Oryctolagus cuniculus: one gene and its partner. The protein of the gene in region 2 interacts with the protein of the main gene of each other region in a biochemical or structural test. Links are inferred from orthologs where the notes say so. Each region holds a gene or a part of one and is shown on either strand. Other genes may lie near its edges.

Region 1 (4,315 bases), about 120 Mb from region 2:
CGAACCTGAAGCGCATGGCGACGGGCGGTGTCTCCCGGGACGGGTCTCCGAGCGCCGGCCCACGCGGCCCGAGCGCCAGGCGGCCGCAGCGATTGGGCGTTGGAGCGGAGGCCCGGGCGCCGGCGGGGACACGTGTGGGTCTGCACCTATTTTGGGCTTTATCACGCGGCGCCGGAGCCCGGGCCGCATCTAGGCCTGTGCCTGCCTCTGGGGCGGCCTGTTGCAGCACCACCGGGTTCTGCTCGTGGGCGCCTACCTAGAACGCCTGCTCGGACGGCAGCAGGGACGAGAAAACGAGGCTTGGAAACAGGGAGACGAAGCCTAAGCCGCGCGATTGTCCAGTCATCTGGACAGGAGCCTGGAAATGATCTCTAGGAGAGTCATGAAGAATGGAATGGCCTCTGGGTAGCGGCCTCGGGTCTTAGCCAAGTCACTTCTTCCCTCTGGATCCCGGGTGCTTTGTGATCTGCAGGTGTAAGCGAATCGTCCTGTCTGAAGACCTGCCACCTCTGAGGGTTCTGCAACGAATGAGCGCAAGACCATGAGCTGAGAAAAGATCGTTTTATGCCTTGCCCTTGCTCTGCAGTCCGACGCCTGATAAGATAATCACTTTCTCCCTTGAAAAACACTGTATTTGTGTTTTGTTTTCAGTGTGAATTCAACGCGTTCTCAATGTGTTTGAAGTAAATACTTCCAAGTCCCCTTCAAGTCTAAAAAAAAAAACTATAATTCAGAGATTTTAATGTATACTTTCCATGATTTTTTTGAAACAGCGTAAAAATAAGACCATTTGTTTAAATTTAGTCTAGGTTACTATTTTTTTAAACTTAAAAAATTTTCGAGTCAAGAAACAAGTTTATAACTAATTGACCAGAAGAAAAATACTGTACTGACGTCTTTGGGGGAAGAGGATACTTCAGTCTGTCACTGACATAAGCTAAATATCCTGTTTACATTTTGTTACATTTTTTAATGAAGTTTTTCTCATGTTCTTAAAATTTGTGTAGTCACCAACATTTAACATAACACAGATCTCTTAAGTGAATTAAAAGCACACACAGACCCATTTTTGCCAGTGTTTGGAAGCTTGTGAATAGTAACGAAAAAGCCAAAATCTCAGGCATTCATAATAAAATAGAAGTACAAAAATTGTAAACTGCACAAACTCAGTCTCTGTGGGACCGTTAGTAAATTAATAATACGCTTCACTCTTTAAACATTGGTACTTCACTCAAAGTTTGGTTGGTTGCTAAGCTTAAGGATAAACATCAAGAAAAATGTGAAGGCAGCAAGGCTGGCCAACTAGGGCTGATTCAGTAGCAAAACAGACATTAACTCACAATGGCATGTGAGTCAGTTTATTCAAACGACTGTAATAAAATATTTTTAGAATAATTTTAGGAAAATAATACTCATCTGGCCAAGAATACTTCTTGTCCACAATGGAATTCAGACTTTAATTGATCTTATTTCTTAAGGACCTGGGAGCTAACAGTTTAGAACTTTCACATTCTACTCTGCTGCCTGCATCTGTGGCATCTTAAAAACCAGACCAAACATCCACCTCAGATATTATTTACTTTTCTGTCTTCATAAAGAGATTGAATAATTTTAACCATTACAATAAGCACCCTTTGAACCCCTAAACAAGATAAGCTAAAACTTATTTTATGGCAAAAGCTTAACAGGGTACAAGTTTGATAACTATGTTGTGCACCAAGTAAGATGGAAATAGAAAGAATATGGGGTAAAAGACATATTTAAAAACCTCAATTGCACTTTGACCATCAATCATTTGGAAACATAAGCCTTAATGATTGCAATTGAGCCCTTCCTGTGTGCCAGACACATGGTTTTCATATTCATGTTATCTCATTTAATTATCTTACCAATCCTATGAGGTAACTATAATTATTATTCCCCTTCTAGATGTGAAGAGAAGGAGGCACATTAGGTTCAGTAAACATCTCACAGCAAGGAAGGAAAAGAGCCAGGTTCTAAAAGGTATCTGTTTATCCTATAATAATATCCTGTGTATCCTGTTAATGCATATTAAAAGATATGTGATTCATTGTGTATATGTAATATACATAATGCATTTAAGTCCCAGCATATTTAAATGTTATACTCTATCAGCTCTTAATAAAAAGTGAACTACGTGTAATTATTTCCTGTAACTGATTTTATGCTTAGGAATGATGGTCAGGTGAATCATGAGGAATCTATAAAGGCATAAATATATTGATATTTAGAGGTTATTTGATCTCGTGCCGTAGGAAATTGTAATTTTTATGCTGTTATACACAAATCCTATAGGCAACAGAAACAGATGGAAAAGCCAAGATGGGCTGGCGCCACAGCTCAATAGGCTAATCCTCCGCCTGCGGCACCGGCACACCAGATTCTACTCCGGTTGAGGCCCAGGATTCTGTCCCGGTTGCCCCTCTTCCAGTCCAGCTCTCTGCTGTGGCCAGGGAGGGCAGTGGAGGATGGCACAAGTGCTTGGGCCCTACACCTGCATGGGAGACCAGGAAAAGCATCTGGCTCCTGGCTTCGGATCAGCGCAGTGCGCCGGCTGCAGCACGCCGGCCGCGGAGGCCATTGGAGGGTGAACCAATGGCAAAGGAAGACCTTTCTCTCTGTCTCTCTCTCTCACTGTCCACTCTGCCTGTCAAAAAAAAAAAAAAAAAAGAAGAAGAAGAAGAAAGAAAGAAAGAAAGGCCAAGATGAAGAAATTTACCAGTTAAAAAAGTATGTTATTCCCATATCTTTTTCCTTGTTGGGTTCTTCATTTGATATTTCTTTTTATATTACAAAAATATTATGGTAATTATTAAAAAGAATTACTTGTATAATTTATCTGAGTTCTGATACTTGATGCTATGGGGATGAGCTGAGTAAAAATCATCTCAATAGAATAACAATTCTGACAGTAATTTTTAAAAGACCAAAGAAAACTTGTATCATTTCATTTCATTTCTATAGTGCTGTCTTCTATATAACTACAGTATTTCTTGAAGAATGTGTGATAAATTTAAACTTAGAGTTTTAGGATCCAATTCAAATGTAAATTCTTTCAAAGCCCCCTTAGGAAAAGCTATGGCTTGAATCTTTGCTGATTTATGTTTTCTGAAGCAATCTTTCACTAGCTCCTGAGTTGTCATAAATCTTCCCTTATATTATTGTGTATGTAGATACACGCTCACTGATGTAATCCACATTTTATCCAAATGGTTCAGAGACTATTGTAAGTATTAGTTTACCACTTAACAAAACAGATTTAAGAATTCAATTGTCACATTTATTATTTTTCATTTTGCAGCTTAAAACAAACAAAAACCTTCCAGAAAAAGTTTCAGTACAACTGAGAGACTTTTGCATGTTATAGATAACATTTTTCTGGGCTGGAAAATTGAAACCTTGCTGGGAATCTAAAGAAATAGGACACAAGCTGTCCTAAGTCTTTGTCCAAAATCCCACAGCATTTCTCAACTATTTAAAAAATTCATGTCCCTTCTTGTTACATATACAAATCTATCTCCAGTAGATTCCAATGATTCCACATCCCGCTCATCCCACCATAGAGAAGTAGTGCCTCTTCGGTATATCCCCAATAGCCTGTTTAGCCACACTTCTGTCATTGAATTTATGCTATTAAAATAACGTTTAAATGTTCCAGATATGAAATTATAGATAAGCATATGCCCTTTCAAAAGAATTGACTTGTCTTTCCATCATACTTCCAATGCCCATCATTGTAAGATCCACACCTATTCTCCTTACATCTCAGTGGAGAAATTCTCAACAGATCATTCAAGCCTTTGTTTTCTTAAGCAGTAACATAAATTGACTTTACCTACAGAAACTAGAGGGCCAAGGCAAATGAAAGGACCTCCAGGTCAGAGACACCAGTTTAGAGCTTCTTTCAGAAGTAAAAAGATCCTCCTGGGTCTGGGACTAACTTGAATGGTTGGATAGTTAATACCTTTTTTCAAAAATGGTAGAAGTCCTGATACCTCAACCCTTAGTAATAAAGGAGTGCTGGCTGCAAGGAGTGATTTGAAACTCCCAAGAGTTTGGAGAAAAAAAAAAAAAAAAAAAAGAGCTTAAATAGAGCTAGGTCATCCACACTTAGTAGAGAATAGAGAATGCGGATAGGGGCAACCTTGACCAACACTTTCTAAGACCTTGAATTTTCTTTACTTATTTTTCCTAACCATTGTAGGTATGGTAGGTATGTTACATTTAGAGCAAAAGTAAGGGTGGGCTTTGGCCTAGCAGTTAAGATGCCCGTTGAGATGCCTGCATCCCACAT
Region 2 (4,184 bases):
TATGGAGGGCCAACTAACTAGTTACAGATGCTGTCATTGCTAATTCCAAAGAGAATATCTCTTGAACTGACTCAACTGACCCTGAGACTCTGTAATATCAGTGTTCCTAAGGAAAATGTTTTAAGATCAATTCTTGGTTGTCCTATCAAATCTGAACTTACATCTCCAGCTTTTCCTCAGAGTATCTGTGATGCCATCAACCTAAGGGTAACTTCACAGGGGTGTGTGTAGGATTGATCTGCCCCTGAAACTCCTCCTTGGAATACATTCACAAACGGTGGGCCAACGTGGCTGACGTCTTACCATTAGTAATACATGACAGGAACACTGAAGGCAAAATGGGCTTTTGGGACTGGCATGGGAGCATGCTCTCACTTTTAGCTCCAAAAGACAGAATTACAATCTTTGGAACATACATGACTCATAATTTGGAAACTGTCTCTAGCATGTACATAGCTATTAAAACTCCGTATAAACGGAATATTGCTTTGTTGAGAATCATCAGCTTTCACCTAGAGCAAACTCTCACTGAGAAATGATTCCCTCCCTGAGAAACCACTTCTGCTGCTGTTGAGGTGCTGGTTCTTTGCTACTATTCGTCTAGCCCTAAACTCTAAGATGTTTGCGCTAGCTAAAAACACACACCCTAGAAAGAACCCGCCTCTTCCCTTGCAATTTCCACCCATTCATTTACTCAGTCTCAACATTAAGCTGGTATTAGCTTGGTCAAGGCTACACTTCAACTGAAGAAGTATTTAAGTGTTTACCAGGGGCCTAAAAGGATTAGGGGAACTGTTCATTGAGTACACAATGTTTGCAAGGCAGAGATGAAATTTAAATTGCACAGAGAAAAGCCCCCATTGCAACGTGCTTCCGATGCCCACTGATGATAAAATGGCCAGCAAATCACTTCTGCCATGAACCTATCGTGGTGAACGAGAGAACGGGAGTTTCGGCCCACCCTCTGGCACTGTCTCCACCAACACAAGCCTTTCTCAACCAGACAACAGTGCGTTTCCTGAGTGCCTACAGGGGAGAGACAGGCACTAAAAGACACGGTCTGCTGTTTTTCCTGCTCACATACCTCTATTCCGTCAGAGGGACTGCAAGTTGACACGCTGATGCCCATCACAAAATCCTTTTTCTCCTGAACTCTACAAAGTCTCCTTTCTTTGTGCATCTAACTACTTAGCTACTTGTAGAGCAAACACGCTTAGCAACCATATCTACTCACATCTATTATTTAAGAGCAAGGGGTTTTGAAACCAGGATTGAGGCCAAACTCTGACTGTCCCCTAGGTAACTGTGACCTTGGGGAAGTCATTTAAGCTCTCTGGGTCTCAGTTTTCTCATCTCTGAGATAGGATGAGTTTTAGACATTACCTCACCGGGCATCCCGGATTAAATGATCCAATAGTCACAAATTTCTCAGCACTGGGGAGTAAGCATTCAATAAATGGTAGATTTAATTACTCCTTATAATTGCCCCCAACTTTTCTGAGCCTGCCAGGCAGTTACAATTTTCCCTGCGTGCCTGGATGAGAAGAGGGGACTTATGCAGGGTTAGGCAGATCACTCGCGGCAGCTCCGGGATCCCGACACCCCCTCAGCCCCAGTCAGCTTTATAAACGTTGACAGAGTGGGATGCAGAGTCCAGCACGAGAAGCGAATTCTCCTTGGTGAAGGCCAGCGCCACGGGGTGGCCAAGCCCGTGACTGATCATGGGCTTCACGACTGGGAACTCCTCGGGTTTTCCTAGGCACAGGACAGCGGGACCAGAGGTCTCTGTGACGACCACATTCCCCTGGTGATCAAAGGTCACGGCCGAGGCGACTATCCGGGGAGGGTGGAAGAGGCTCAGCCCAAAGGTGTCCACCTGGCTGAGGAGCTGCATCCTGGAACTGAACACCTTCACCCTGGCGCTGCCGGCCAGCCGCTCCAGCACGGCCACGGCCCCGGTGAGCCAGGACACGGCCACCCCGCGAGGGCTGCACAGAGACGCCTGCAAGAGCTGCGATCCGCGGAGGAGCCCCTCGGCAAAGTCGATTTGCAGGAGGTGCAGGGACCCTGCCTCGGCGTCAGTGACCAGGACGCCGTTCTGCGGGGTGGTCTCCACGCCCCAGGGCAAGGAGAACTGGCCCCCGAGCACCAGCTTGATCTGGCCAAAAAAGTCGAACACTTTGATGGCGCGGTCGCCGGCGTCGGTGACAACCACGTAGCAGTCGTTGGTGACGGTGACATCCAAGGGGTACTTGACATCCTGGGCAGCGTCCCCTTTCTCCCCAAACTGATGCGCGCACCCTCCCGCGGAGTCAAAGATCTTGACCCGCCTCTTGCCGTCGTGCACTACCACGACCCGCCCCGTCTTGGGGCACAGCGCCAGCCCGGTGGGGTTGACCAGCGTCCCCCAGCCCCCGAAGGCTTGGTGGCAGCTGAGGGCCCCTGGCGCACTGGGGCCGGCGCGCTGGGCAGCTGGCGACGGGCGCAGCGCGGAGCCCAGCAGCTCCAGCAAGTGCAGCACCGGCAGGCAGTCGCTCGTGTCGCAGCCGCGGCAGGCTCGCCGGCAGAAGGGGCACTCGAGGGCCAGCGTCCGCGGGTGCGCCAGCGCGGCCACGCAGGCCAGGCAGACCACGTGGCCACAGGGCAGGTTGCGCGGCCGCCGCTGCTGACGGTGGCCGAACCTCTCAAAGCACACCTTGCACTCCAGCAGGCTGGTCTCGGCTTCGCGCACCAGCTCCCGCAGCGCCGGCCGGGCCTCCGCGGCCTCGGCCCCCATGGCGCGGCTCGACGCGTTCCCGCCGCGCCGGACGCTGTCCCCGCGCCGCCCACGGTCACGACCACGGGGCGGGGCCTCCGCCCTGACGTCGCGCGCGGCGGCGCCGTAGGCCGCGGCCTGCTGCCCCCTGGTGGGCGCTCTCGGCCCTGTTTCCTGACTGCCTGGCCTGGTGCGGCAGGACACACACTGCAGGACGAACGGGCTGCTCCCTATTGCGAAACCTTTAATAAGTGCAAAGCAAAGACCGGCACGCAGGGTTTCAACGCTGGTGCCCAGCAGTGTTTCCAACCCGCGGCTCTGGGTTCTGGGTGCTGGGGCTGGCCGGTCTGAGTCACGTTAGTCTGTCTCTTGTCTGATGAGCATCTCCCTGCTCAAGACGCTTTGTTTTCTGAGTAGGGAAACAGACACACAACAGAAGTTGCCCAGGGGGTGAGGAGGGTCAGACAGGTGTGCATACTCCCTTTGTGTGAGTGTGTGCCTGTGGGTGTGTACTAGGATAATACAACAACCCCACTGGGTGAATGATGTCAGTTGGGAGAACCTCTTCCAGGGGAGTTAATGTGAAACCAGAAAGCTGCTCTCATCAGCGATGCCTGCTGCAGAACTTGTTCCATGCCTGCCCTCCTTGAAGTGGCTTCAGTGGATCATCTTATTTAAATCTCGTCATCATCCTCCGTGATGGAGTCCAGAGACATTAAATATCTTGTCCAGGTTGGCATGGCTAGGAAGTGGCTGGGCTGGAATATGAAGCCAGGTAGTACACAGAACCCACCGTGCATTTCAAACTTGATTGCAAACGGTAGGGGTTTAATTGGTCTGGGTGTAGTCTGGGCAAACATTGGTTTGTAAAAGCTCCTGAAGCTGTTGTGGGCATTTGGGGAAGATTCCCCACCCTCACCACTGCCTTTCAGATAAATAAATTTCCAAATCTCTCTCTCTCTCTCTCTATATATATATATATATATATTCAGGGCACTAAAAATGTAATATTTTGAAAAGTAGTGTGATCTAAAAACTATGAGGCAGTAGATGATGGCTCAAGTTGGCTGAAAATGGGTGTCTGCCTCCCACATGGGAGACCCAGATTGGTTCTTGGCTCCTGGCTTAAGCCTGGCCTGGCCCTGATTATTATGGGCATTTAGAGAGTGAACCAACAGATGGGAGATCTCTGTCTCTTTACTTTTCAAATAAAATGAATAAAAATTTTTTGAAAGTAAAATAAATTATATATATTAAACTGTGAATAGTAAAGAGTAAAAAGATGAAATTGACTTAGCTGAACATTTTACTTAACCCAAATATTATCACTTTAACACATAATCACTATAAAAATATTAAGATATTTTTCCTTTTTGTTGCTCTATACTAAGTAAAGCCCAATGTATATTTGACACAGCACATCCAAGTT

Evidence for each region.
Region 1: the proteins of NHLRC1 (region 2) and EPM2A form a complex in vitro, tested with the Homo sapiens proteins (3 studies listed by BioGRID, with this or other methods). The link is inferred for Oryctolagus cuniculus from reciprocal best matches to the Homo sapiens genes NHLRC1 and EPM2A.

The regions. Positions count from the first base shown.
Region 1 is NC_091436.1:22,624,627-22,628,941, reverse strand, and holds the start of EPM2A (laforin), read right to left. Parts: upstream 2,855-4,315; 5' UTR 17-2,854; coding exon 1-16. UniProt on the Homo sapiens protein: Plays an important role in preventing glycogen hyperphosphorylation and the formation of insoluble aggregates, via its activity as glycogen phosphatase, and by promoting the ubiquitination of proteins involved in glycogen metabolism via its interaction with the E3 ubiquitin ligase NHLRC1/malin.
Region 2 is NC_091436.1:145,322,324-145,326,507, forward strand, and holds the start of NHLRC1 (E3 ubiquitin-protein ligase NHLRC1), read right to left. Parts: upstream 2,836-4,184; 5' UTR 2,777-2,835; coding exon 1,607-2,776; 3' UTR 1-1,606. UniProt on the Homo sapiens protein: E3 ubiquitin-protein ligase. Together with the phosphatase EPM2A/laforin, appears to be involved in the clearance of toxic polyglucosan and protein aggregates via multiple pathways.